7 linked regions of the Danio rerio genome follow. The protein of the gene in region 6 interacts with the protein of the main gene of each other region in a pairwise test. Links are inferred from orthologs where the notes say so. Each region holds a gene or a part of one and is shown on either strand. Other genes may lie near its edges.

What was found.
Region 1: the proteins of si:dkeyp-20g2.1 (region 6) and stx11b.1 interact in binary tests that used the Homo sapiens proteins (3 or more experiments, as listed by UniProt). The link is inferred for Danio rerio from reciprocal best matches to the Homo sapiens genes CCHCR1 and STX11.
Region 2: the proteins of si:dkeyp-20g2.1 (region 6) and kifc3 interact in binary tests that used the Homo sapiens proteins (3 or more experiments, as listed by UniProt). The link is inferred for Danio rerio from reciprocal best matches to the Homo sapiens genes CCHCR1 and KIFC3.
Region 3: the proteins of si:dkeyp-20g2.1 (region 6) and nup62l interact in binary tests that used the Homo sapiens proteins (3 or more experiments, as listed by UniProt). The link is inferred for Danio rerio from reciprocal best matches to the Homo sapiens genes CCHCR1 and NUP62.
Region 4: the proteins of si:dkeyp-20g2.1 (region 6) and rbm17 interact in binary tests that used the Homo sapiens proteins (3 or more experiments, as listed by UniProt). The link is inferred for Danio rerio from reciprocal best matches to the Homo sapiens genes CCHCR1 and RBM17.
Region 5: the proteins of si:dkeyp-20g2.1 (region 6) and trim54 interact in binary tests that used the Homo sapiens proteins (3 or more experiments, as listed by UniProt). The link is inferred for Danio rerio from reciprocal best matches to the Homo sapiens genes CCHCR1 and TRIM54.
Region 7: the proteins of si:dkeyp-20g2.1 (region 6) and efhc2 interact in binary tests that used the Homo sapiens proteins (3 or more experiments, as listed by UniProt). The link is inferred for Danio rerio from reciprocal best matches to the Homo sapiens genes CCHCR1 and EFHC2.

Annotation. Positions count from the first base shown.
Region 1 is NC_133195.1:29,251,735-29,256,392, reverse strand, and holds the start of stx11b.1 (syntaxin-11b.1), read right to left. Parts: upstream 2,911-4,658; 5' UTR 2,869-2,910; intron 1,384-2,868; 5' UTR 1,379-1,383; coding exon 491-1,378; 3' UTR 1-490. Other genes in the region: stx11b.2 (syntaxin-11b.2), read left to right, coding at 4,516-4,658. UniProt on the Homo sapiens protein: SNARE that acts to regulate protein transport between late endosomes and the trans-Golgi network.
Region 2 is NC_133193.1:48,507,821-48,512,248, reverse strand, and holds the start of kifc3 (kinesin-like protein KIFC3), read right to left. Parts: upstream 3,096-4,428; 5' UTR 2,221-3,095; coding exon 1,918-2,220; intron 1-1,917. UniProt on the Homo sapiens protein: Minus-end microtubule-dependent motor protein. Involved in apically targeted transport. Required for zonula adherens maintenance.
Region 3 is NC_133189.1:11,201,084-11,205,029, reverse strand, and holds part of nup62l (nucleoporin 62 like), read right to left. Parts: intron 3,046-3,946; coding exon 2,971-3,045; intron 2,877-2,970; coding exon 2,769-2,876; exon of another isoform or gene 2,747-2,768; intron 1-2,746. UniProt on the Homo sapiens protein: Essential component of the nuclear pore complex. The N-terminal is probably involved in nucleocytoplasmic transport.
Region 4 is NC_133179.1:26,162,394-26,166,339, forward strand, and holds part of rbm17 (splicing factor 45), read right to left. Parts: intron 2,861-3,946; coding exon 2,694-2,860; intron 1,923-2,693; coding exon 1,801-1,922; intron 1-1,800. UniProt on the Homo sapiens protein: Splice factor that binds to the single-stranded 3'AG at the exon/intron border and promotes its utilization in the second catalytic step. Involved in the regulation of alternative splicing and the utilization of cryptic splice sites.
Region 5 is NC_133195.1:42,014,948-42,018,893, forward strand, and holds part of trim54 (tripartite motif-containing protein 54), read right to left. Parts: intron 1,705-3,946; coding exon 1,580-1,704; intron 1,329-1,579; coding exon 1,243-1,328; 3' UTR 1,225-1,242; intron 1-1,224. UniProt on the Homo sapiens protein: May bind and stabilize microtubules during myotubes formation.
Region 6 is NC_133180.1:24,144,031-24,147,976, forward strand, and holds part of si:dkeyp-20g2.1 (coiled-coil alpha-helical rod protein 1), read right to left. Parts: intron 3,904-3,946; coding exon 3,797-3,903; intron 3,604-3,796; coding exon 3,491-3,603; intron 3,408-3,490; coding exon 3,332-3,407; intron 551-3,331; coding exon 429-550; intron 354-428; coding exon 186-353; intron 1-185. UniProt on the Homo sapiens protein: May be a regulator of keratinocyte proliferation or differentiation.
Region 7 is NC_133184.1:35,458,646-35,462,591, reverse strand, and holds part of efhc2 (EF-hand domain-containing family member C2), read left to right. Parts: intron 1-550; coding exon 551-693; intron 694-781; coding exon 782-978; intron 979-1,114; coding exon 1,115-1,248; intron 1,249-3,807; coding exon 3,808-3,946. UniProt on the Homo sapiens protein: Microtubule inner protein (MIP) part of the dynein-decorated doublet microtubules (DMTs) in cilia axoneme, which is required for motile cilia beating.

The sequences.
Region 1 (4,658 bases), on a different chromosome or scaffold from region 6:
CTTTGCAAATATGGCAAGACATGACAAATTCTTCATATTCCGGATTAATGTAAGTGCATGTTCAGTTAGATTAATAAGAATCTCACATATAATAATAAATTATAGCCTATGAATATCCCACACAATATCTAGTCAAATATCAGATTTAATTCTCCATTGCTTTTGTTGACCTCAAACACTTAAATGTGATTTACCATTTTTACAGTTTGTATCAGTCTGCAAAAGGAAAAGAAGACAAGTAGTGAGGACTAAATGTTGTATAGTTGTAGAGAACGTCATTTCATTTTTTTCAGTTGTGTGTTAGGTGTTTAATGTACTCTTAGCACGACTGCTGTTCACTTCAAGAGTAGCCTATCAAACAGTTCTTTATAGACCAAAGCTTTGCGTCAGAAATCTGTGATCTTTTTCATTACACATCTCTTTCTTTTCATTTTTAAATGACACTCAAAGGTCATCAGAAGCTCAGGTCCACAAGTCTGTTTACATTCACTCAGATTTTAGCACAAGGAAAGCATCCACAGAACATTTTCTTGAAGGGGTTGTTATTATCATGTCTTTTGGCCTGTGCCAGTTTGATAAGCACTTCCCCAAGCACAGCATCAGTTTTCTGCACATTGTTTAAGATGTAGTCTGTCATGGGTCCTTGCTCCTCCACAAGCATCGCCACATCCAGGAAGACTTCATGAAGGCTGTTGAGTCGGTTTTCCAGCTCCAGCAGTTCCCGATGTCGATGCTCGATCTGGTTGAGTGCAGAGCGAGCTGTTTTGCCCTCTGACATGATGTTATCGTTAAAGACGTTCCACTCACCGTTCTCCAGCATCTCCTCTATCTGGTCACCTGACACCTCTCGACCGACGATCTCCATTTGTCGTTGAATGTGACGCTTGCATGATTCCTTGTGATTCATCTCAGCATCATTGTACTCGGTCATTGCATCTTGGAAGTTGTTGCTCAGGGTGGCATACTGTGTTCGGGCGATTCTGGCTACTGCTGAGTTGATGCCATGCTCCTCTTGCAGCTCTTTGGCGTGGGCGTCCATCTTTTGTAGACGTGCCAAAACGTCCACCCCACGGGTCTTGATGTCACCTGCGATGGCATTGGCGTCACGCTTTACATAACTTGTACGTGTCGGTTCGTTGAGTATTCGTGTGTTTTGGTCCCTGAGCCGCTTGACCTCGAGGCGGATGAGCTGAATCTCACGTCTGGTGTCTTGAGCCTCGTCAAGCACAGACTCCATATCTTCACCATTGTCAAAAATGACAGCCTGCTGGCTGAAGTTCTCCTCCAGATCCACATTGCTGAAAGAGTCAGATTCTACCTCCTCTAGATGACTGTCGGTCTCTGAGATGGTCAGAAGATGATTTAGTCGGTCCCTCATGATTGCTATAAGAAAGAATGAAGAGCAAAGGACATTAAGTATGGGTTCATCTTGACAGGGTTGGTTTGATGTAAAGAAACTCTGCTCTAGTTAATATCAATAAGTGTGAACACAAAAAAACAGAACAAAACGCAGCAACAATCAATGAGACCCCTGAAATAGTGAGTTTCAGATTGTGTTCAAGTTGGTACACTCTTAAAAATAATAAACAGAATTAAAAATAATTCTGAATAATTTCAGAAGGAGGTTTTTGCCCTGCAACCATTATTTTTGGTTCCTAAAAAGAACCTTTCAGTAAACAATTCTTAAAATATTTTTTTTTCTTATTGTTAATAACATTTTTAAAATCTTTAGTATTTTTTACTACAAATAATGCTTTTATTAAAGATTATTTGTGAAACCAGCCATACAAACTCATTTTTTTTTTGTTTTATTTAAAAGTGTAGTTTGCTTGTCTTGATTAATTTATTCTGGACCACCAAAAAGTAAATAACAATTTTAGTTCTGGTTCTCTTTACACTCATTCAATAGACACAAAAATATATAAAATTGGGATTTTATAATTTGCAATATTATTTTCCCTCAAGCTGTCCTTGTTTTTAGGCATTGTGGAACAAAAATACCTTCTGACTGTAAAAGGCAGATAACACTTCCTTATCTACCACGAAAAAGTCACAAGTCTAACAAGTTTATCCGTGAAACTATTTCTGACTGGCGTCACTCACCAAACAAGTTTGAATGGATTGAATTGATACTTCAGCTTTTGTTTCTGTAAAGATAATATGCTCTTTAGTTATTTGTATTTTACTGCAAAGCGTATTAAAAAGAGATAATATATATATATATATATATATATATAAGACTTTATTTGAGTCACTAAAGCTTTAGCTACAGATAAACATGTGGCACACTTCTAAATTATTTAATTTTGGATTGTTGGGTTACTTTTGAAACATTTGATAGAGCTGAAATTTAAATTTATAATGAAGATGTCATTTAACAAATTTTGGAAAAAATAAATTAAGGACAAAATACGTTCGCAAGTTAACATATTAAAGTAATAGACAGAAATATTTATTATAAACAAAGTTAAGCAAGTATATTTAGCATATTGTGTTACTTTTAAACCATCCATGTGTTACTTTTGTCTCTACTGATGGGGTCAAAAGAAACAATGTGCAATTTATGCTAAAAGTGAAAATAAGTTGTTCTACATTTGTACAAAAATACCACCTGATCACGACAGACCACTCTTGTGAGTTAGTAACCATAGCAAGAAATATTTCTGTCTAAAATAATATCTTTTAAAATGAGTTTTTTATGAACAATTAAATGTTGTTTTGTTTCATCTCTTGCCTACTCTTTTAGACATGCTGACAACATTATAATGAATTTATTAGCCTAATAATGAACAATTGCCCATAAAAACATAATGTAGAGCTGAAATGTGAAAAGCAAAGTCCCATGTCATCTACAAAAAAGTCCATTACCTTATGTTTTTGTCCAAATGATTTGCAGTTTGAATTAAGTCGACATGTCATGTCAGTACTACAGCTCCATCCTCTCTGCAGTGAGGCGGCTGATGTCCTCCTCTCCCAAGTGGGGGGGTGAAGGAATGCGCGGTGCAGGGCGTAACTTTGACGCCAAACCTGTTCGCTGAATAGTCTTCAGACGTGCGTTTCGTTACTTTTGACATCATCTCTGTTTTAAGAAATTCCTCAGCGGTCAGATGATCTTCTTCGTGTCTTCCATGTCTTTTCACTAGCCTGCGTTTAAGTAAAACTATGCAGTAGTCTAGGCCTCAGAGCTATGATGATGATGATGTGTATATACGTTGTTTATAGGCTAGAATAAGAGAAGACAACTTTAAAATATGATTAAGCATCTGATATTGTTCCTTGAGGCGCACTTGTGTTGTTCGTGGTCAGATTAGAGACCAATCATGTAATTATTATTACTGTTATTATAATAATTATTTAAATAATTGTTTTGCATTATATTTGAATTTTTTTTATAATTATCTTTTGAGAATTGTTTTCTCTTACAATTATCCTAACGCAATATTAAAATGTAAAAAATGAGGAAACCGAACCGAATAATTACAGAAGCTTTTGTAAACCCAAAAGCTGGTCCAAAATGATTTAGAGACACCAGAGTTTAATCAGCCAGTGAGTGTATAAATAATATTATTCGTGAATTGCATAATTAAAAAAAAAAAAAGAAATGCTGTAATGAAGTAGTCGAGGGTTTTTTGCTTGGGGTCTAGAGATCCCAAGAAGGCGCAAGAGTGTTGGAATTATTTAGAGAAAATGCATAGGCCTACAAAATGTGTAACTAACAAATATAATTTATTATGATCATGTTTAAGGCGTTCGTGGTAACTAAACAGTTGAAAAAGCCTTTGGGACAGTTCTGTGTTTAGGCTCTACTTTGCTCGGTTCTCCCCTGGCCCCGCATTTCTTCTGCCCTCTGTCGGACACATTGGTCATCACTGCACACCTGATATAAGGCGGAGTCTATGACATCATCCTCACTCGTGCATCGCTGGCTGCAGAGGTGAAGTCCTGTTACGTTAAATGCATTTGTTATTTTCACGGACGGATTGGCTTTTGTATTAAGCTGATTTTAGGAGGAAGGGACAGAGAAGGATATAATTTGAGGTAGGCCACAGTCATAGTAATGCTTGAAAAATTTGTGTTATTCCAAGTGGCAAATAGTTTCATTAATAAGAGTCATTTTATACATTGAGCTAATATTACAATTGCACGATTTGGGATTGATTATAATTTTCTGTAATCCGTTCTGTTTTTAATGAATCTATATATCTAAAGACCATACAACGCACTCCTGATCAAGTAGTAAAACAATGATGAAGCGCACTGTAAGAGAAAGAGTTAAAAAAAAGCTTATATTTTTAAAACGTGTTCGTAGAAACTGGTCTTTCTTGTCTGGCAGGTACACGGGCACGTAGATTACGTCAGACGCTTTGACGGGCAGGTTATTCTGTTTACAAGGGCTGTTTGTTGGGCCCATATAGTGTACTTTAGTAACTGCAGTCCATGTATATAACTATGCTGCATATATAATGAATTCTTAGATAAAATACGTTTTGTATCTTTCAGTCAACTACTTCAGCTATGAGGGACAGACTTGGCCACCTCCAGGAAGTTTCAATGTCTAATGGGACAGTTGCAGAGCATGAAACTGCCCATTCACTCCCTGCTTCAGAAAACACAGACCTCTATGACCTTCCTCAGGACTCCAGCACCAACCCTGACAT
Region 2 (4,428 bases), on a different chromosome or scaffold from region 6:
TCTCAGTTCTCGAAAATGTAGCCCTGGGCCAAAGAGGTTGAGTGTTTCTGAATTCTACATATAGCCCCAACTAAGAGCGTACAAAACTAATGTGCACACAAAGAAGTGGTGTAATAAATCACAAGCACTATGTTAAAATTCTAGCAAATCCAGATTTTTGCTAATTCGTCAAGTCAAAGCATAAAGATTGAGGAAAAGGGATAGCAGTAAACAGAGCGTATGCGAATTAAATTATGATTAAAGGGGACAGAGAGCTCTCTGATTAACCCACTGCTTGCGTAACCACTCAGGATTTGATCTGCTAAAACGATCCATCAGACTGCAGAGAACATTAGAAATGGGACATTGGGAGGATAAACATGATTCCAGGTAAATGAAAATCCCTGTGTGTATTATGCAGAAAGAACATTTACAAAATGTTCCCATAGTGAATTACTCCCACCAGAAGCAGCTGATCACAGAAATTCTGGATAAGGATGAAAAGTCGAGAAAAACGCACTTGATTGATTAAAATAGCTCCAGTAGACTTGATGAAATTCACACACTCAGAAAAGGAATATGTTCAACTTAAAGCCGTCTAAGGTTTCTTCAAATCAATAATACAACGCACATAAATAATGAGAAGAAATCAATGAATAAATAATTGCATTTTGGATTAAATGGAGGTTTTCCAGTAGCAGAGAGACTCATCAGTTACACTCTTCCAGCTTGAGGACTGATCGGTCAAAAACAACACTTAATTCCCTGCAGAATCTACAGTAACATACTGGCAGCAATTTACCAGTAACTTACTGTAAATCAAGTACAGCAAATAGACTGTATTTACATTTACAGCACCATTTATCTTGTATTTACAGATATGTATGTATAATAGTTTTGGGTCAATAGGCAATGCCATCGTCGATCGACAAAGGCCGAGAAACATCCTCTGCCCCGCCCCCGTCGCTAGAATTACACACTCAGGCCCCATTTAGACCAATACATCTTAGTATTAAAATGGCATTTTAGAACGAAAACGATCCACATCCACTGGCGTTTTATCTAGCACTTCTGAAAACATACTGCTGAACACACATGGCATGTGCTGCAGCATTTGCGCACGTCTGAGCTCTAGGCAGTCAGTGGGTGCTTTGAGCACAAAATCCCAGAGAGCAGTGCACTTTGGACAATTTATTAAAGATGTACCGCTGGATTGCATCTTATAGATGTTAAACTTGATATTTAATTAATCTTGTCTCTATCTAACGACTCCTCTGTCTTTTGAATCTATCAGGTAACACAGCGTCAGTACACTGCTTCAGTCTTTCGCTTTCACGCTTGTACTTTTAGTAAATTGTAATTCTAGCTTAAACCTCAGATACTGTTGGATGGTTCCTGTTGGTTGTGCACCTTTTTTTTTACCAACCAAGTTTTTCGACGCCATTATAATGACACAGATCACTCTGCCTATTCATGCCAGAATCCCGCAAAAAAAAATATTGACCGGTTGGTCATTTATGTGTAATTTATCTTTATTCATTTATGATTTGGTTATGTATAAAACAAAGACTATGCAGGTCAGGTAGTCGCAACGGGTGGCTACAAATTATTAATTTGTTATGAATAAATAAATGATTCACTGATGCCATCGTCCATCACGATGTTTCACATTAGACATCGTACGATGCCAAATCGGTCAACATCGCCCAACCCTAATGTAAATCTTTACTGTAGAATATACACTAATTTTCACAATGCAGCATTAAAATACAGTAACATACTGCATGAGTGTCCTACAGTAAAATACAGTTCACATTACAGCTAAATACTGTGTAATTTACAAAAATCGTTAACAGTGAACATTAAACTGGATGGCTGCAATGCAAACAGCCTTCAACTAACAACTTTCTTTACTTTAACCTCCATGTTCACGCTCACCTGTGCTATCTTCCTCCTCTCCAGCACATTATCCTGATGAACAGATCTTCTTTTACTCGCTCTGCTGCTGAATCCGTCAAGGCATCTATCAACGTCACTCTGCCCATGCACTCTTGAAGTCTCTAGTGGTCCAGAACTTCCAGGAATGTGGTGTTTGTTTCTCTTCTTGCGTCCGTGTTTGCCTACATCTGGTTTGTGCTTCTCTGGGCTTTCGATAGCTTTGGGTTCAACGGGATCCAGGACTCGGGGTCTCCTAAACAGGTTGTGAAGAGACAGCAGCACCAAGGTGCACAGAACATACATGCTGGCTTGACTACTGGAGACGTCTCCACACACACATTTAGACGGAGTATCCTTTAAAAGCGATTCTGGATGATCCCATTTCAGGGTGAGCGCAAGCACTGAACACTATCTTCTGGTTAAAGTTACAGTCGTAATATAAACTCTTCCGAATTGCGCAGCAATGAGCTTTATCGGTCGACGTGAAGGTGATCAGCCAGTTTAGAATCAAGTATTGTTGAGTTCTTGCATGTCTTCCCACCACTGTTTTCACTCAAACAACAACTCCTGGAAGGTAAGACCGTGTTATTCCAACACCTTCGAGCTCCAGAACTCTCACTTAGGCTTGATAATCTGTCTGTGATCTGATCAGCAAATGAGATGGCTTTCTCATCTCCCAATCTCGTTCAAGAGAGAATGAGGGAGGGACGACTACCGCACATCTGCTTTTAAACCCCACAAAGCCATTTTAACCTACCTGGACACGTCTATAAAGATATCGCCTGATAAACAATGTAAGCCAACAGCATGATAAATGCTTCTTTAATCAGGATACATAATATTTAGGTGCTTATCTTCCCCATCTGCACGCCTCTTCTTTGGAGATCTTCCAGAAGATTACAGGTGTATTCCAGTGAAATTCGATCGAAAGAGTAACCATGAAACTCTCAGTCGTAATCTCCATTGGCACTTTGACAAATCATCACCTCCACTTGCGTCAGTAATGGTTTTATTGTATTTTTACAGTCACTGGATTGCAGGACAAAACTCACAGGTCAGACCACTCCTTTCATAATGCCTTGTTTTGATAGTCTTTATCCCCGTTTTTAGGTCCAAATGACTGGGCAAACTCCAACCATTCATAACCCATCCAACTCCTGCGATGCTGGTGTAGTCCTATAACTCCGAGAGAGAAAATGCTTTTCACTCTTTCGCCCTCCCTTTTCTCATTGTGTCCATCTGTCACTGCAGTCGGACAGCTAAGCGTCTCTTAGCCGATGATGTAACAACAGTGTTTGCATCTATGCAAAATAAGGAAAATCAACTCAAAACATGTTTTAAATGCACTGCTGAGGATAAAGAAGCTGGTCTGTGATTGGTCGCCTCCGTGGTAAGATGACCCTGTTGAACTGCGTCCTACAAAGCCATCCATCATGCTCCTGCTGTGTGACAATGGATAGAACATAATATGGAAACAGACAACTATGGGAATGTGGCGCAGTGAGACCTGACAGTGCCAATCTAGAGTGATCAATTAGGATTCGGGGACATAGAAGATCGGCGCTGTCTTGTGCTGGTACTTCAGGGGGGAAAAATTGAATCATGTTTGAAGTGTGTGCGCAAGACAAACAAAAGGCCATCTTCTGGTTCATTACCCTTTTTAGGGGCCGTTCACATGCTTCAGACCAAGGGAAAACAACAAGAGTGCCTGTTCGAACCAAATTAACCAGTATAGAAGTAAGTGCTCAAACTAAAGTGGCAGGGCTGGGCAAATCTACAAACAGAAAACTACAAACAAACAACAATTTTTTTTATATACAGTTGAAATCAGAATTATTAGCCCCCCTGAATTATTAACCTCCCTGTTTTATTATTATTATTATTGATTATTATTATTTTTTATTTGTTTATTTTATTTTTTAAACATAATAGGTTTAAGAACTCATTTTTAATAACTGATTTATTTTATCCTTGTCATGAAGACAGTAAATAATATTTGACTAGATATTTTTAAAGACACTTCTAAACAGCTTAGTGACATTTAAAGGCTTAACTAGGTTAATTACAGTAGGTTAACTACGCAGGTTAGAGTAATTAGGAAAGTTATTGTATAACGATGGTTTGTTCTGTAGACTATCGGAAAAAATAGCTTAAAGGGGCTAATAATTTTGTCCTTAAATTGGTAGTTAAAAAATTAATAACTGCTTTTATTCTAGCCGAAAATAAGACTCTCAAAAAGACAAAATATTATCAGACATACTGTGAAAATGTCTTTGCTTTGTTAAACATCATTTTGGAAATATTTAAAAAAGAAAAAAAACATCAACAAGGGCTAATAATTCTGACTTCAACTGTATATAAGACAATACCAAAATGATGATACAAGTTGAATATTCTCTTCTTCAAAGGGGGCCTCTTACACTCATTTAAACAAGATGTAAAATAAGTCCCTATAGTGTTTGTGTGTGTGTGTGTGTGTGTGTGTGTGTGTGTGTGTGTGTGTGTGTGTGT
Region 3 (3,946 bases), on a different chromosome or scaffold from region 6:
GCCCATCAATAACTTGCATAGCTGAATCAGACCACCGTAGGAAAGTTCTATTAGGGCTGTGCAATTAATCGAAAATCCGATTTTGATTTTGGCTTTTAACGATTATGAAAAATCATTAATCGAGATAAACGATTATTCCATCACGTACCGCCCCCTTTACAGTTGTACACGTGTGAAAACTCTGCCTCTGCAAAGCTAAGTTCCACGTGATAATGACTAAAAGCATGTGCTCTAATGTAACTTTTGCAGCACGAGATGCGCATCATTCATAATTTTAAAACTACAAAAGAGCACGTGCTGTTGTGTGTGTGCGCGCTGTGTCTGGCCTCGGACAGGTAGCATGTGTGTTTGTTTGCGCGCTCGCCGCGCCGCGCTTAGCCTCGGACAGCAGAGCACACACACATCTAACGCGAGCTTAATGTGAGCGCTTTAATGGTCAAATACATGCACATTTGTGTCAGAGCGTGGTGTTTATTGATTATTTATATTAACCCCCATGTGTGTAATAAACTAACAAGTTGAGAATCAAAAGACACATGAAAGAGAAACCCATGAGCCGCACTATTCTTAAAAAGACAGTGTGCGATATTCCTGCTGCTGCCGACTGTTTTTATTATTAATCAATAATAAAATCAAAAATACAGTGAAGATGCTTAAAGCACAGTTTAAACAACACATTTAATAACTCATTTCTAAAAACTGATTACTTTTATCTTTGCTATGATGACAGCACATAATATTTTACACATATTTATAGATATTCTTCAAGATACTAGTATTCAGTGACATTCAAAGGCTTAATTAGGGTAAATAGATAAGTCATTGTATAACAGTAGTTTCTTCTGCAGACAATCAAACATATATATTGCTTAAAGGGGCTAATAATATCGAGCTATTATAGGTTTCAAAATATTCAAACCTGCTTTTATTCTAGCTGAAATAAAACAAATAAGCCTTTCTCCAGAATAGGGTTGTAACGGTATGAATTTTTCACGGTATGATAATCGTCTAAAACAATACCACGGTTTGACGGTTTCGCGGTATACGGTATGTTACAAATGTTACAAAATAATAGAACAGTGAAGCAAATTTGACTTTTTCCAAATAATATATTTTTAGTTACTATAAACACCACTTGCAATGAACAAATAAAAAAATAAGAAAACAATAAATAATGTGTCAAAGTCCAAATAAAGTCCAAATAAACATGGTGCAAATCCTCAGTAAAAAATAGATATAAATGTTTACTATACTATAAATAGTTACATAACGAAACTAGATTCAATATGGAACATCCTTAGGTTTTATGTGCCAGCATGGATATGGTTGTCTGTGGATATGGATTTGGTTGTCTGCAATGCAGACAAACAGCTGCATCTTCATTTGCGTCTTTTGAAAACAGCAAGAGCAGCACTTCGTCTTTGCTGTGTCACTGTTTTGTCATGTTTCTGTGCTGCTGTGCATGCAAAAGTACTTAGTATGAGAATTATTTCATGCAAAACTTTTTTTTTTTGCGTTTTATTTAGCCGCGCAAAAATGTATGCCTTTCTTTCATTCCGTGTTGTTCAAAAAGCTCGTTTTTGGTCCACAAACAAAAGCGAAACCTATGCTTATTGGTTGTGATATAGCGAGTTTGAACCAATCTGGGCATGGAGGAGGGATAATGCATCAATGTATCATGTCTGGTTTGTCCGGAGACACAGTGACGAGCGTTTCTTTGTCAAATCAGCGTTGTCAAATGTTGATGACGTAACCGCACTGATTCCGGAGCCTCTGAAAGTCCGCGAATGTTATGTGATACAGCACTGGAAAGCTGAGATTCTCTTCTTTATGCCAATCTTTGAATTGTATGAATCGGATCAGTGGATCAAAAGTTATTAAACATTTAAGAGCAATACTTATTTTTTGCCACGGGCGGCTGTCTCGGTCTTTAAGGGTTAAAACCGTTGATATGCAATTGTTCATGGTATGATAATCGTGCACGTTCAAATCGTGGTAAACCGTCATACCGGTATATTGTTACAACCCTACTCCAGAAGAAGAAAAATTCATAGGAAATCCTGTAAAAACCCCTCTGTTAAACATCATTTGGGAAATATTTATATATAAAAATAAATTCACAGGAGGATGAAGAATTTTGACTTCAACTGATAATCGTTTTGAATAATCGTGATTACAATTATGACCAAAATAATCGTGATTATGATTTTTCCCATAAGCAGCCCTTAGTTCTATTAACATTGTAATCATTATTAACCTTATGCTTGTTAATAACCATGTTTTGATTATACAGAATCATGAGAGAGGATCGTTTATATCAGCTTTTAGCTTTAAACCCGCCAACAAATCTTTTCTTTAGGTCCTAATAAGGCCTTTGTCCTACATTTGACCATCCTGTGACACAAATCTATTGCAGTTGATCATTATTTCCTGATAGCACAGTTCTCTTTTGGATCTGCCAAAATAAGTTAAGCAAGACACTAGAGGGCGCCTGCAGTCCTACAGTTAACTTTTAGAGAAGTCAGTTTCACTTTTTCCCACCTGCACTGTCAGTAAGCAATTTGGTAAGTGCTTTATAAATGTGATGTGTAAAAAGATCAGACCATATTTCATGAGTAATCAAGTAATCCTCAAGTAATAACTGCCTGATATGTACACAATCACATGTGTGATCTATGTGTATAACTATGCAGTTTACATGCAGGTTTGATTGGGAAAATGACTGAACAATAATTTTCTTTATGACAAGAGCTGGAATAGGAACTCACATGTGAATCCTGTGACTGGAGTTGAGGCTATAGGATTAGCAAACAGAGAGGACACTGGAGCTGTCGAGGATTGACTAGATAGCGCAGTGCTGGCTGGGGCTGGAGTAGCTAAACAAGAAAAAAAAACATGTTATACAACCATTTAAAAATTTTTTTAAATTTTATTAATTATAATAATTGCAATAGAAACAATTGTACATGCCTGAAGTTTTAATTCCAAAATTAATAGCAGTTGTGGAAGCAATGGAGGCAGCAGTAGGAGCACCAAGAGACAGACCTATAAATCAAAAGCAAATGAATACCGGAATAAATATTCAAGAAAAAAAAAGCACAATTTTATATTATATAGTACCCAGTGGTGGAAAGAGTACTGAAAAAGCATATTTAAGTAAAAGTACCATTACTTGGCTAAAAATGTAGTGTGAGTAGAGTAAAAGTACCTGTTGTAAATTATACTAAAAGTAGGAGTAAAAAGTAGCCCTTTTAAAAGTACTCAAGAGTAGTGAGTATTATGCTGTTAAAAGTTGATGCATTTACATGTCATTTGTGGATGTGTGTGTAAATGTAACATTCTGTAGTGCATTTAGTCATTGCCCATTAGTAACACAATGTCATAAGATGTTAATATTAGGTTAGATTTAGGTTGTGATGTCAGGTGACCAAAATTCAATGTCTAGCCAGCGTCATAAGGACAACGTTATTTGGATGTCCAATAATGACATCAAATGACGTTGATATTTGGTTGATTTTAGGTTGTTAGAAAGTGACCAAAATCCAATGCCGAGCCAACATCTTAAACCAACATCCTATTAATGTCAAATACTGAAATTTATTCATCAGTTATGGCAAGAAACCAAAATTCAACGTCTGATAGATGTCATAGTAGTAACGTCGACACAACGTCAAGCTGTAACATTATTTGACGTTATTATTTGGTTGGTTTTAGGTTGGACACTGACGTTGAGCTCTGATGTAAACCTGATATTCATTCCCAAACAAAATGCAACGTTTCCACGACGTTAGGGCACAATTTCAATCTGACGGCATGTCGACGTCTTGTGCCTGCTGGGTGTTTAAGGCCATTTCGGTCATTGTACAGTAAATATCAATCATCTTCTCATCGGTGACATGCATCTAAACCAGGGGTGCCCATACTTGGTCCTGGAGGGCCGGTGTCC
Region 4 (3,946 bases), on a different chromosome or scaffold from region 6:
GCGGTTGAGTTTGCAGCTGTGTATTATTGGGAGATTGCTGACAGGAACAGTGAACTGCTTTGCCAGCTGTAAAGCTAATATGCAAGTTTTGCTGTATGGAGAACCTTGGGCGCGCGTCCAACACATACAGTGACAGGACATTAATCTGGACAACTATGCAAATACATTAAATAGTTCAAACAAAAATACACAAAGAGAGACTTTCACTTTCACTTCACGCATAGTTTATGAATGAACAGACTTGCTGTAGTAGTTGAAACATGCAATCATAAGGGTGTTTTGCGATAAGTTCGAGGTAATCAATTAGAGAACTGAAGAAAGTTCATTACTTAGGTCATTTTAATACAGCATATTATTAATGAAATCCAAAATTTACAGTGTAATATTGAGAGTTATTCTTAGCTATCTCACGGCCCACCTGCAGGATCGCTGATGCCCACTAGTGGGCCGCGGCTTACCTTTTGAGAATCCCTGCTCGAGGCCAAATAACCTCTACCACCGGGCCATAGACCGCACCCAAATTTAACCCAAAAGCAGCAAAGTGAGTAAGAAACAAACATCTGTGGAAAGTTTCTTTGCTAAGTGGAAAAGGCCCAGTGATGGACCCGCAATCTGCCAAAGCATAAATCCGCAACCCATTTGTTAACAAATCAGGTGATTCCAGCATCTTTGTGTAAGAAGATCAACTGATGCACATCACAAATGATGGTGGCCTTTTTGGAGTCGTTCGCATATTGCATCTTTTCTAGAGTTTGAGCACGGTCATTGTCCCCAAAGGAGGTGCGTAGCTTGCGCGCACAAGCAGCATGACGCGCTTACGCCTTCAAGATGCACTTAGTTGAATGAATGCCGCGAGTCACATGATAAGAATTGACTGATCAGCTTCAGCTTGTAAGGAATATACACATTTCGGTAGACTAATTATCTCAGACAAATACAGAACACTCAAACACCCAAATGATTTGTCAGCTTGTCATATTCTGAGAAAACAGTTGATAGCAAGCTACGAACCACCATGCCCAATAGGCCCAAGTCTATTCATCGTTTAATTTTTTTGTTTTTAAACTCTAGAGGCTCTCTAGGCTAGATTTTAACAGCAGATGGCGCTCTAGGCTAGAAGCTAATGACACTCTAGGCTGGTTTTTAACAGCAGATGGTGCTCTAGGCTAAAATTATTTTGCTTTAGGCAACAGGTTAATGAAATGTATATTCTATACATTTCAGTTATAACAGTAAGCTAGTTAGTCAAATGCAAAACGCTGTAACGTTTTTCTTTTATTCATAAACAAAACCGGTATCTGAGCTACAGCTGGGGCATAGACTGGGGTCTGTTGAAGTGGTTCACTGGAGAGTGTGGTTGATGGTTGCTTAGCAATGGCAGACACCACGGATGCACGATTTAAACTATGAGATCCTGATAACTTGAAAATGTGTCAGATCACATTCACGCCTTAAAGGATTTGTTCACCCAAAATGTAAATTCTAGATAAAATATATAAATAAATAAAATGCTTTTCGATGTATTCCGCATCAGAGGAGAGTGTGTGTTTACTATGGGCAATACAATGGGTATAACGCGCATTTATGAAATAATCTGATTTGTTTATAAAGCGGACTGAGACCACCTCTTCAGCTGGACCCCAGTTTGCCCAAAATATCTGCAAATATCTGTGTAAACGATCTTTCGTTTAATTTAATCAATTCAATTAAGATGTCAAAATATGTCAACATTTTGATTTCTCAGTTTTATGACCCCTTTAAAAGTGAGACTGAAGAGCAACAAAGAAAAGCTGCACGTACTCCTCTTTCTCTTTTCCCTCTCATAGTCCTCCTCCTCATCTGATTCGCCTTCTGTTGGAAAGCGTGAGAATCCACTTGGAGCTCCACCACCACCTCCTCCTTCGTGCCTCTCCTTACGTTTCCTATTTAACAGAGGCAAAATCATCAAAACAAAAACAAAGCAGATCCGGTACATTTTCATGTCAACCTGTACTACAGAGCTCGATAGCATTCATATGACTATATAAAACTAGTGGCTACAGGTCTGGCAATAAAATAAAAGTAATAAAATAGTAATAAAAGCTATTCTTTCTTGATGTAGTAAATGAGTAAATGAGAAATATCAGTAGCCATATTTCCATCCATTTTTTTTACATTTTGGACGATTGCATTAAAAAATGGCGAAATGCATCAACAATGCAACAGAATTACAGGGACAGGACAAAAAAAACACATAATAAATATATTTTAAAAATAGTAGTAAGTAGTGAATGCAAATATACAAATTGACAAGTGTAGGTACAGGTATATTACTATATACAATGTTACATGTGCAGCTGTTATGTGCAAATTGGCATGTAAATATGTTGTTAAATAAGTGTATATGTGTATAAAAAGTGCATAGCAAGTAGTGATGTTTGTTTCTCATTTACTATCATAAGGTGTTCATGAGATGGATTGCCTAAGGGAAGAAACTGTTTCTGTGTCAGGCTGTTTATCAGGAAGTTATGATTTTGTTCATTCTCACTCACTGGATGAAAACTAAGTTTTAATCACAAATGTTTTATGCAATATTACAGGTTTGTGAGAAAAAAAGTCTAATTCCCATCTTTAGATGGAAACATGGCTAATGTGCAAAAAAAATAGGCATCGCATACGTTCTTGAAGTGTATGTTAATTTTTTGGATATTTACTTCTCTCTCTCCTCAATCTCCTTCTGTCGCTCTTGTTCTCTCTGTTTTTGTCGTTCCTCTCTGTGTCTCTTCAGCACTTTCTCATAGTCATTGGGAAACATGGGATCATATTCATCAGCCAAGGGAATCAGCACATCTCCTGAAGAAAACCCTCCTGATGATGAGTCCTAGAACAGACACACGAAGTAAAAACAAAACAAAAAAAGCAGCTCAAATTAGTGTACATCTGCAAACAAACAGAGCATTTCAGATAAATGAACACATAAATCAGGGGCGTCAAACACAATTATTGAAGGGCTTCAGCCCTGCGGAGTTTAGTTCCAGTCGTTATCAAGCAAACCTAAAACACTCAATTAGTTTGATCAGGTGTGTTTAATTAGGGTTGGAACTAAACTGTGCAGAGCTGCAGCCCTTTAGAACCTGACTTTTGCCTCAGTCACAATAGAGTTTGAGCCTGCGAAATTCTGCTGAATTCTGAAATGGGGCGGGATAAACAGGATGAATGGACATTAAGAAAAGGAAGCTATTGATCCATATTTTAAATTCTCTCCATTTCTTCAAAGAGAGGTCATGTTTTGATCTTCAATTGGTCTCACGCAGTCACGTGATGCGATTTTACCAAGCTTGAACTTTGCAACGCAGAGAACTGCGAAACACAAGCTTGCATTACCAGTTTGCCGCATTCGCATGCAGACAATCCACGAAGTCTATGGTGCAATGTGCCCATGGCTTTAGACACCTGGTACATAAATAAACATTTTTGCTTTTTTGGGGATATGATTTTAGTATATATGTGCCATATTTCAGGTGGAGGCATCAATTCATCAGTGAGACAATGTTTGCTTCAGTGATTGAAAATGTTAATCAAAATGCACAATTTTTAAAATGTACAATTTTCGTATTCATGTAATATATCAAAAAATTATTGTGCGTGTGTGCTTTTGTTACATTTATATAGAGACAAATATTTTATCATCAAAACAACAATGACTGGGTAAAGTGTTTTTGACATACTAGTAAAATTGACAGTTGTTAGGCTACTGTTGCTTAATACAGCATTGTGTCATTTTAGCCAATCAGTGTGAACATGAATCATTTTGAGAACGTTATCAATAAAAAAAACTCAAACGGCAGATTTCTTAGTGTTTAGTGCATTGCTGTTGTGGATCTTGATGTAAAAATTAATTACCAAATTAAAACCAGTGTGATTTAATTTATTTCATGTAATGCATTGATTACTGTCGTCATTATTA
Region 5 (3,946 bases), on a different chromosome or scaffold from region 6:
CACATGTGCTTGGTTGTACACTAAATCAATAAACTGTTTAGACATTTAAAAACACTGTTGTAATACACTGAGCCACTAAGCATTGTTCTTATGACATTTTCTACAGGAGGAAACCCCAAATTACTTCCAAACACTTCAAATATAGTCTATGTTAGTAAATGCAAAGCTATTGATGAAATCCAGGCATAACAGTATTACAGTGTTTCAATTGACTGTTTTAGAGCCTACAGCTAATCAATCTGTCTGATTCTGGAGTGCATTACAGGTCTAAAGAAAATATAAATGATGAATGATCTTAAATAAAACCGATACATTTATAGAGATGGTATATAAGTATATAATTTGACCCACTTGGGAAATGGAGGCCATGTGAAGTGAGCACAATTAAGTGCACACAGCATGCCATATCATCTGATTATTGTAAGAAATAATTCCAAAAAGCAACTCACTGTGTAAAGCCACATAAAACAAAACAAAACTACTATGTATATGCCAAGTTCAGCGGCTAATCAGCCGGAATCAGCTGAGGTGAAGTGATGGCAACCAGCGAGACCTGAATTATGCAGACTTAATATAACTCAGTGTAAATTAAATGGGTGACTTATAAAAAATTCACCTCCTCACAGTTGTCATGAAGGGTAATATTAGCTATATGAATCAAAAATTGTTCTTTGTACCAGGCTGTAAACCCCTTTTTCTGCTGTAAAGTTGGCCATTTTAACATTGGGCTTAATAGAAATTTATTCTATTGTGGAGCCAGGCCTAGAAGAATTTCGATGAATTGCAGTTTCATCTACTTCTGTATTTGCTTCACGAGATGTTGCCGCTTGGTTTATAAAAGAGATTTTTGCACAATAGGTCTCCTTTAAAGGATTTCTCTTTCATGTATCAATATGGCGATATAAATCTTCCATGAACAGTTTCTGCTTGTCTTAAATCTTTTTTAGAACTTTAACAAGAGGCAATTAAGTCATAACTAATGTTAACTGTCATTGAAAAAAGTTATCAATTTGTGGAGCTTTCTGGATTTTAAGAAGCTTTGGAAATGAAAGATATAAAACAGGAAATACATAAAGACTTATTGTTTATATCCCTCAAAATGGTCTAAACAATGATGGCCAATGAGCTCTAAAAAAGAAAGTTATACAAATGTTAAGTAACAAACTATTGACCAGCCAATATTAAGGTCAACTACCATTTTACAGATGCATCTTTGAAACTAACCTTGGGTTTAAACATAAGTTAGCGCGTCCCTGATTCACCACTTTGACCAGTTGAGGTAGTCAGGCCTTCAGGAGCTTCATCACCACTGTCTTCCTCATCTTTACCTGAAAGAAACATACATTGCAATGTAATCAGACATCACAGCTGTGCTCTGTAAAAAATGCTGGCTTCCACACAACCGATTTGTGTTGGGAGAATATGAAGGAATTGAGTTAACTTATTTGTTTTTGTGTAGAATGAACATAAAACAATAAAATTGTTCCCAAAAACCCCTAAAGAATTGTTGTTTCAGCACAATTGAAATAAGTAGTTTGAACAAACAGCAAATGTCATTGTTTGAGTGTGAAGCTGTTACCTGTCCGGAAGTTGATATGTCTCAGCATGTTGGCCACATCCTCCGTGTTGATGATGAAGTGGGCCATGCTCTCGTAACCCACCTCCGTCCGCTCAATGTTGGAGGCCTTGGCTGTGTCTGTGATCCTGTCAAGGACAGAGCGGTGAAGTCGCGTCGGACAAATATAAAAGTGACGGATAGCATAAGGTCCCAGTTCCTCCATCTCCCTGCGGCTGCTGGTGACGCAGGTGCTCCAGGCTCCACACCACCTCTCCGCAGGTGGAGAAGAGTATGAAACAGAAGACACAGCTAGACAGTGTTGAGAGCGTAAGCATTTTTCTAAACGCTCATAGAGGTTTTGGGAAAAACTGTAATGAATAACTCACTGCAAGTTATGATATACCAACAAGAGTGAATGGAAGATACTAAAAGTTAAAGGGATAGTTTACCCAAAAAGGAAAATTCTGTCATCATTTACTCTCGAGTTTTGTGTTCTGTTGAACACAAAAGAAAATATTTTGAAGAAAGCTGGAAACCTTTAAACGTTTACTTCCATAGTATTTGTTTTTCAACTACAGAAGTTGATGGTTACAGGTTTTCAGCTTTCTGTGAAAAATCTTCTTTTGGGTTCAGCAGAAGAAAGAATAATAGAACTTATATTAATGATAGAAAATAATAATAAAACTTGAGGGTGAGTAGCTAATGAGTACTTTTTTTTTAGGGTTACTATTTCATAGCTTTCGAAACATACTCCCATCAACCACTTCATAGATTGTGATCCTTACTGATATGAAAGTATCCCACAGTTACTGCAGATTTGATATCCATTATGCAAATATCTCAATCCCCCACTTCCCAAATTGGTTTAAGAGGTTCAAGAACTCACTTTGAGGTTATTTGAGCGTAGTGGCATGGTGCATTATGTTGCTGGAAAAAGCCATCACAAGATAGGGCCATGATGGTCATAAAGGGATGGACCTGGTAAGCAACAGCACTCAGGCTGTGGCATTTAAATGATTCTCTTTTGCACTAAGGGGCACAGTCAGTGCCAGAAAAATGTCCTATACACCACTGTGCCACTACAGACTGAACTGTTGATCCAAGGCATAATGGATCTTTGCTTTCTCTTAGACCAAATTCTGGGTAGACCATCCGATAAGTTCAGAACAAACTCTCATCAAACCATTCTTTTCACAATCTTCTATCTTCCAATTTAGTTGTGTCATTTAAACTATAGGCTTTGCTGTTCTCAGCTGATATTAGTGTCACCTGAGTTTTCTGCTGTAGCTCATCTGCTTCAAGGTTTGATGTGTACTGTTTTTAGAGAGGCTCTTCTGCAGACCATTGTAACAAGTGGTTACTTCAAATTCTATTAGCTCAAACCCCTTCTATTCTCATCTATAATCAATACAGCAGGGAAAATAAATATTGAACACGTTACAGTTTTTTCCCATAAAACACTCTAAAGGTGCTGTTGACTTGAAATTTTCACAGAGTGTTGGCAACAACCAAAGAAATCCATATATGCGAAGAAAAAAAATCTAATTAATTTATAAATTAAGTTATTCACAATAAAAATTAAATGACGCAGGGTAAAAGTATTGAACACATGAAGAAATGGAGGAGTAGAAAGGCAGTGAAGGTTCAGACAGCAGCTGAAATCTCTCAGTAGTTCTTCAGCAACCCTCTGCCCTTCATCATTGTAGCCTTTATCAAAAAAGCCTCTTACATAAAGTATTAAATGCGTTTTAGTAGTTCAGTACTTTCTCCTTGCGTTATTTCATTGTTATTACACATAAGTAATGTTTTAGTTTTACATTTTTTTATGTTTGTATTGTTTTGGTTTTTACCAAAATCTAATCCAATTTTAGCTCCTTTAGAAATATTAGTTCCCAGAAAAAACAACATGTTCAATATTTATTTCCCCTACTGTATCTACTGCTCACTGTATTCACTTCAATCACCTTTCTTACCTATTCAGCTGCTTGTTTAAAACTCAGCAAATTACCTTGACTATGTCCACATGCCCAAATTCACTTAGTTGCTACCATGGGATTGGCTGATTAAATATTTGTGTCAGTGTCTTTAGAGGGTTAGCTCACCCATAAATTAAAATTCTGTTTTTATTTACACCTTCGTCATTCCAACCTATGTTCATCTTCAGAACACAAATACGATATTTAGATAAAAGTCTAGAGCTCTCTGACCCTCCATAGAGAGCAACAGTCCAAAGTCATTCAAAAGAAAAGGAACCAAAAACTGTTAAAACATTCCATGTGGCCACAAAATACCAATTTCAAACTCCAAAGCTACGATTACACTTTTGGGCACCAAAAAAACTCTGTAAAATTACTTTAACAAATGTCTTCTCTTTCACTTTATATCAGT
Region 6 (3,946 bases):
GCGATTGCAAGCAGAGTTGCATGATTAGCCTGCAGCCACGAGCAATTGAAGTCAGCAGAATTCCCCAAGTGTTAAACACAGTGTTAATAGACTATTAGCAATGAGAATGAAAGAAAGAAGGAATCTGTGAAGTGAATACCAAATGCTTTCAGCGGGGGGGAGGGGAAGCTGTTCTTCACACACACCTGAGTCACACTGCTGCTGGAGTCTCTGGGCCTCAGTGCGGAGCTCCGCGATGGTCCCCTCTTGTTCTTCACAGTGCCTCAGTGTCTCCATTCGGCTTGATTCTGATGCCTCCAGCTCCTCCCTGCTGTGTGACAGAGCTTCCCTTAGGTGGCTCAGATCTCTGTCTCCTGCAACACGGAATCACATCTCTTTTTTACATTCTGCAGATGTTCAGTATTCGGCTTGGGGTTTCGTGTACGTACGCTGCTGCTGTAGCTCAGAAAGCGAGGCCTGAATGAGCTCTGGTGTTCGTTTGAGCTCCTGTGCGAGCGTGTCCCTCTCTGTGCTCAACATCTCCACCTCAGCTTTGAGACTATTAATAAAGCTGCAACACAAAAGAATGATGGCCATATTAAATAACAGTGCAGTGCTTGAAATTGTATGTCAAGCTATGAGATGAAAAACTGTTGTATACTACATTCTTGTCCCCTATTTTCCTATATGGTTAATCTTAGGTATATGTATTATTGGTGACCTATATAACCTAATTTAGTAGTTGTACTAAAATGTTCATTACAAATCTAAGTAGTTAATTATCTGTTTTTTTTTGTTATTATTAATATATAATAACAATAATAAAGATGATCTGAGTTAAATTTAGTGAAAAATCGGCCCAACAGTGTAGTAGGAGTTAAGAAAAATAGCATTTTCAAGCGAAATTTAAAATGGCAAACAGGAAGTTTCACCAAGTATGGAAAATTTGGTATCAATTTATGCTAAATTATCCAAGGAATATATCAAGAGCACGCTGCACGGTGGCACAATGGTTAGCACGTTCGCCTCACAGCAAGAATTGTGTTGAAGATTGTGACAACACCTCAATGCATTCGTAAAATATAGCATTTTTCAACAAAATTCAAAATGGTGACACCAAATGGCAAACATGGGGAAATTTAACATCATCCAACTCAGAATGTCACTCTGAATGTAATGTTGTGAAATTTGGTGAGAGCATTCACGAGATACAAGCAAAAGTAGCTGTTTTTCATATCTCCAAACCACTAGGTGGAACTGCAACGAAACTGTGCAGGCAACCTCAGATCATAGTTGTCATAACACACACCAAACTTAGAGTTAAGCATTGTCGAGATGTTGCCTTGAGTATGATTTGGCATGTCATTTTGACAAATTGAATTGCACATTATTCAGCAACAATTTAAGTTATCGTCTTGAATTCCATAACTTTTTGCCAGCATGATCTAGTGATGATCTGGGCCAATTTTGGTGAAAATTTAACAAACCGTCTAGCACGCGTTCGAAAACAAAGGTTCTACAAACTATTAAAAGATAGAAAAAAACTAAACCCTATTTTTGAAATTTGGATTGCAATAAGTCAAGCATTCAGGGTAAATTTGTATGTTGATTCTGCAGCTTACGGTTTAAAAGTTATTAGCATTGCAGTTTTGAACAAGTGGTGGTGCTGGAAAGTTTGAGTTAGATGGTCCAAATTTGCTACGATTAATATTGAGCTTGTCTTCTATAAGTGTGCCATATTTCATAACTTTTGAACAAAAGCCTATATAGACTACCATTCAAATCTCGGCAGAAGAACAAGAAGAAGAAGAATAGGAACCGGAAGAATAACAATAGGTGCTTTCACAGCTTCGCAGCTTGGCCCTTGATAACCATAACTTTTTTTTTTAAACCTGATAATATTTTTGATTGATTTGAAAATGCAAATAAGGTGTGTACGGACCACAACCCACAGTTTGGAATGCATGTGACCCAAGGAATATTAACTTTTTGGAACTTGTAGTTTAATCCAACATTTATAACAATTGCAGAAAGATCGCTTCCTGCGTCCTTGAAGTGCATGAAAGCATTTAAAAAATATTTTTTGTCACTGTTTGTTAAGCCTGTATTAATGCATTCAGTGTAAAGTTGCATTGTCAATCATTAAAAAATTGTAATCTTAATTCAAACCCGTGCAACAATAATAATGATGATTTGCATGTTTATTAATGCATTAAAATCTACGCTTGATTGAGAGATTCAGTTTTTAAACTTTTTTCAGTTAGTTAATACAGTTTAACTATTTATAGTTCAGATATTACCACAGATTTTTACCGTAAAGAATTAAATCACTGTGTAACGGAACTTGAAGCTGGTGAATGTTGTAGCAATTACATTGCGTAACTAATGGGAGGTGACAAACAACAATTAAAATGATGTCACTGAATGGGTTCTTAAAAATGATCCACCTATAATTAAACGAAGTTTTATGTGTGAATTGTTGAATCATTAATTGAATATAAGATGACGCAGTCGAGCAGTAGGTAGTGCGGTCGCCACACAGCAAGAAGGTTGCTGGTTCAAGCCTCGGCTGGGTCAGTTGACATTACTGTGTGTAGTTTGCATGTTCTCCCTGTGTTCACATGGGTTTCCTCCGGGTGCTCCGGTTTCCCCCAGTCCAAAGGCATGTGGTTCAGGTGAACTTTTCCGTAGTGTATGTGTGTGAATGAAAGTGTATCGGTGTTTCCCAGTAATAGGTTGCAGCATGAAAGTGCATCTGCTGCATAAAACATGTGCTGGATAAGTTGGCGGTTCTTCCCGCTGCAATGACCCCAGATTAAAAAATGAGACTAAGCCAAAAAGAAAATGATTGAATTATAGAAAATAAATATATGTTGTACAAGATGCTAGACTGCTAAATTTAGCATTATCAGCAACCGTAGCAAAGACCATTTTTTTATATTGAATATTTTACTATTTTTCTAGCTTTTTATTTTTTATTAATTACAGGTTCTCAGTTCTGTTTGTAAAAAGCAATGGATTTTGCAGCAATATTTATGTATGAATAAAAAGCAAATGACATTTGTCTCTTCCCTTTTTTGGTAATCCGAAAAATTATCGTGTGATTCGAACTGTGAGATTTGTTTTCTGTTACACCACTAATAATAATAATAATAATAATAATAATAATAATAATATATTTATTGTGAGATAACATCTAAACTCACTCATTACATTTAAAATAAATTTATTAATATTACTCTCAAGATTATTAACCTCAATATCTCATAATCTGATAATTACTTATAAAGAGGTCACTGCAAAATCAAACACCACAATGTTAACTATGATTTTTAATGTCACTATTCTGTACCTCTCCAACACTGCAGGCTCTGGACATCTTGTAGCTTGCTTGGTTCTCCACAGAGCTTCTTTTCTCAACAGCAGCCCTGCAGACAAACAACAAGTTATTAAAAGTGCAACACACTTACACACACACACACACACACACTGACACAGATGACACGCTCACCATGTACTGTGTCCAGACGCTTGGCGGCAAAGGCGAGTCTGTGGTTCAGCTGACTTACACTGGACTGAACTGCTTCCATCTGACCTGCCTTTAATTCCACGGCTGACATCACTCTGATGAGAGAGGCCGAGAGAGAAAGATAACACAGAGAGAGAGACAGATGTTTATGGATGAGCTGACTTCAGGGGAACAGTCATCTTTAATCTAATCAGGACGCTCATGTTGGTATTCAGGAGACTTGTTTAATTCAAAGAGACTACAGATTCAAGGTTTGGCTCAAGGGGTGTGATTGTGTGTGTGTGTTACCTGTGTGCTGTTTCACTGATATGATTCAGTGATGCCTCGCTGCTCTTATTGCGCTCCTTCAGCTGAATGTTCTCCAGCAGAACACTCTCCAACTGCTGCTGTATTCCCTGAACATGCATACAGAGAAGCACGCGGCTGTCAGAAACACAC
Region 7 (3,946 bases), on a different chromosome or scaffold from region 6:
CCCGAAATATTGTTTATATCTAAACGAGACAAACAGATATAGTGTTTGTTTTAACGGCACAAATCCAGCACAAACAACCTGTGCTGATTTGAAGTGATTTGAGCAAGATGGGGTGGAAAGTGACATTGAACGGTCAAAAGAAATAATGATTAATATCTCAGACCCCAAACCAACACAAACATTAATTCTTGCACAAATATAGCACAAACGAATGGCATAGTTTTGGGGATTATTTGTTTTTATGGGGTGCCAACTTCATGGAGGTCAATTTGATTTGATAAAAAAACGAAATTATATGCACGAATAAATATTTTTCATTTTTGGGTGAACTTACCCTTTATTGAATGTCTAAATCTCCTAATGTTCACATTATTAGATAATAAAATAAGAACATTTGAATGAGATCTGCTAATCAGCTCAAACAAACTGTGCAATAGGCGAAATATTCTCCAACATGGCCCTGAAAAAAATCCAATAAACGTAATGAATCATTTAATTTCATTATGTTTACTCGTAATGATCTTATGCCAGTTATTGTTCTCAATGTAAGGCAAGGTCTGGTGAGCAACGTGCTGAGATTTGTGGGGAAAATGCTGACAGACAGTCCTGTCGACAAGGAACGTGTTTTTATCATATGCTTCTACCTTACTGATGACACAATAGCTGTCTTTGAACCTCCACAGAGAAACTCAGGTATTGTCAGCCTATTCATATAAATTCAGTTTAGGAAAATAAACATTTCAATTTTACTGTATGTTTTTATATTGCTCTTGTGATGAAGGTGTGATCGGGGGTAAGTTCTTAGAGAGGGGGCGAGTGAAGAAGCCAGGACAGGAGCTGTTTAAAAGTGAGATGTCGGAGTATTTCACTGCTCAGGATTTGTATGTTGGAGCTCATCTGCTTCTGAACAGTCAACCTTTCCAGCTGGTGGATGCTGACGATTTTACATTCAGCTATATGGAGCAGCATGCAGATGAGGTAACACACAAAAACCATCTCGTTGCTTCAATTTTCAGCCTGTTTTAATTAATGTTGCTGAGCAAAATATCAAGATATATGTCTCTATATAGAATCTCCATTAAAAGTCCTTCACCTATTTTTCTCAATTATTTAGTTCCCCAAGGCCAACATTGGCACCATCATTAGCAAGGTAAAATCCATCAGTGAGGAACAGCAGAAGAAAGTAAAACAGTTTTTCACCATGAGTGACCCAAGCAGCACTGGCTCTCTTCCATATGAGTCATTCAGGTAAGGAGCTGGCCAAAAATACACAAATAAAAGACACATTACATCTTGTTCCCGCCTGCCATATATTATATAGATATACCGAGTGAGATTCTGGATCAGTTTCACTGATTGTGAGATTTAATTATGGGCAATGTTATTTGCAGAAGTTTTCTTTAAAGGGGTTGGTGCAACAGACCTGCAGGGAAAAAATGTTGAGATTACATTTGAGTTAAGCCGCAAACATTTAGATGACCAGCAGGTTTTGTGCATTTGTGATCCACATACAGTACCCGCTGTCAGATTTAAAGCACTAAAACCAGCAAACAGTGTAAAACGGGTTGACATGATTGATGTATAGAGGACAGGGATATTAACACTCAGAAAATAGAGATAGAAATTAAGAGCAATAAAATGTGACAAGTTCAGTTGGTCTAACATGTTTTATAAGCTTTTCTCAAGCTATGAACTGATAAAAACACAATGAGCAATTGAATGCTAATTGCACTGACCAAACAGAACCAAATTACTAATGTAAACACTTTCATTACTACATTACATCATTACTACATAAGCTTTAAGTACAAAGCTGGTAAAATGAAATGCAGAAAAAGCCTTGTTTTTGTGATCTAGGTGGGTGTTAATGGGATGTGACATCACGTGAAAACTCTGAACAGAACTGACAGGAAAAATCAAGGACAAGTCATGCCAGGTTAAGCATGGATTATGTTTAGAAATAAGTGAACTCTATAGTTAATACATTACTACTGGGTATTTTAAGTTACAAAACAACAAGTTGCTTTAATTAAATTACTTAAAAATTAACTCGTCACTGAAAAACTACAGTAACGAATTAGGTGATTTAATTAGTTACTTGCAGTATTCATTCATTAATTAATTTTCTGTTCGGCTTAGTCCCTTTATTAATCAGGGGTCGCCTCAGCGGACTGAACCACCAATTTATCCAGCATGTGTTTTACGCAGCTGATGCCCTTCCAGCTGCAACCCATCACCGGAAAACTTATATAGTTTAGTAAATACTGAAAATACAGTTGAAGTCAGAATTATTAGCAATAATTCAGTTTTTGGTGTACTATCCCTTTAATCACTGTCATGTAATGTTTCAAAGACACATGCATATACAGTTGAAGTCAGAATTATTAAACCCCCTGAATTATTAGCCCCCCTGTTTATTTTTTCCCCAATTTCTGTTCAATAGAGGGATGATTTTTTAACACATTTCTTAACATAATAGTTTTAGTAACTGATCTCTAATTACTGATTTATTTTATCTTTGTCATGATGACATTAAATATTTTACTAGATATCTTTCAAGACACTTCCATACAGCTTAAAGTGACATTTAAAAGCTTAACTAAGTTAATTAGATAAACTAGGCAGGTTACAGTAATTAGGCAAGTTATTGTATAATGCAGAGGTGTCAAATCCAGTTCTTGGAAGGCCGCAGCCATGCATAATTTAATTCCAACTTTGCTTCAACACACTTACCTGTATAGGTTTTAATCAAGCCTAAAGGACTCAGTTAGTTTGATCAGGTGTTTGATTAAGGATTGGCACTAAAATGTGCAAAGCTGCGGCCCTCTAGGAACTGGATTTGATGTGGTATAATGGTTTGTTCTGTAGACTATAGAAAAATATATAGCTTAAAGGGGCTAGTAATTTTGACCCTAAAATGGTTCATAACAAATTTAAACTGCTTTTATTCGAGCAGAAAAAATATTATCAGGCCTACTGTGAAAATTTACTTGCTGTGTTAAACATAATTTGGGAAATATTTTAAAAGAAACAAAATTCAAAATGGGGCTAATAATTCTGACTTTAACTGTACATTCAGGAGTTCTGTAAGTCAGTTCAGAAAAGCAGATTATTTGTATTTTGCTATATTAATAGATTTTGCATATTAATTATATTTTAAACTAAAGGTTATGCTTATTAATACAGCTGCATTCTTAAAAAACACTGATTTGAGTCAGAAAACAGTTCAGGAAAATATATAAATTCAGAAAAGCAGAATAATACATATTCCAATTTTTTTATTTATTTTTTTATTTTTACAAATTTCAATTTTCAAATTTTCCCTATTTAGGTATTTTGTAAAAAATAATTATTTTTCAGCTATAGAAAGCTACATTTGTCAGACAATTACACATGCTGAAGAAACAATTAAAATGTTAATAAAATATATTGCGTGTACTCTATGAAAGCAGATGTCTGAAACAATTCGAAATACTTTTGTAATTCTGATTACTAAAGAATGTGATGCTTTTTATTAAAATGCTTAAGCCTTTCATGTTTTTATTAAGCGAAAAGAATGAAGTTATTTTTATTCTATATGAATTGAGTTTTTTTTATTCAGTCATTTAATTCTTTATTTAGTAATTAAATTACTTATCAGACATAGTAATTAGAAATGTTATTCAAATACAATTTAAATAATGTAATAGCTGCCAATTATTTACTTTTTTAATTTAACAAACATATCACTGTTTTGTCACAGAAAAAGCTGTGGGTTACCTCTTCAGTTTGAGACAGTGATTGAGTAAATGTCTGTGTGGTTTCCAGGACTCTGTTGGCAGATTTGGACGTGGAGTTGTCCGAACATGAGATCATGACACTGGGTCGTGTTTATTCGGTGCGGCAGCAGCCAGAGGTGAACGTGGGTCTCATGCTTGCTGTGGCTCAGGATCATCTGAAGAAGAAA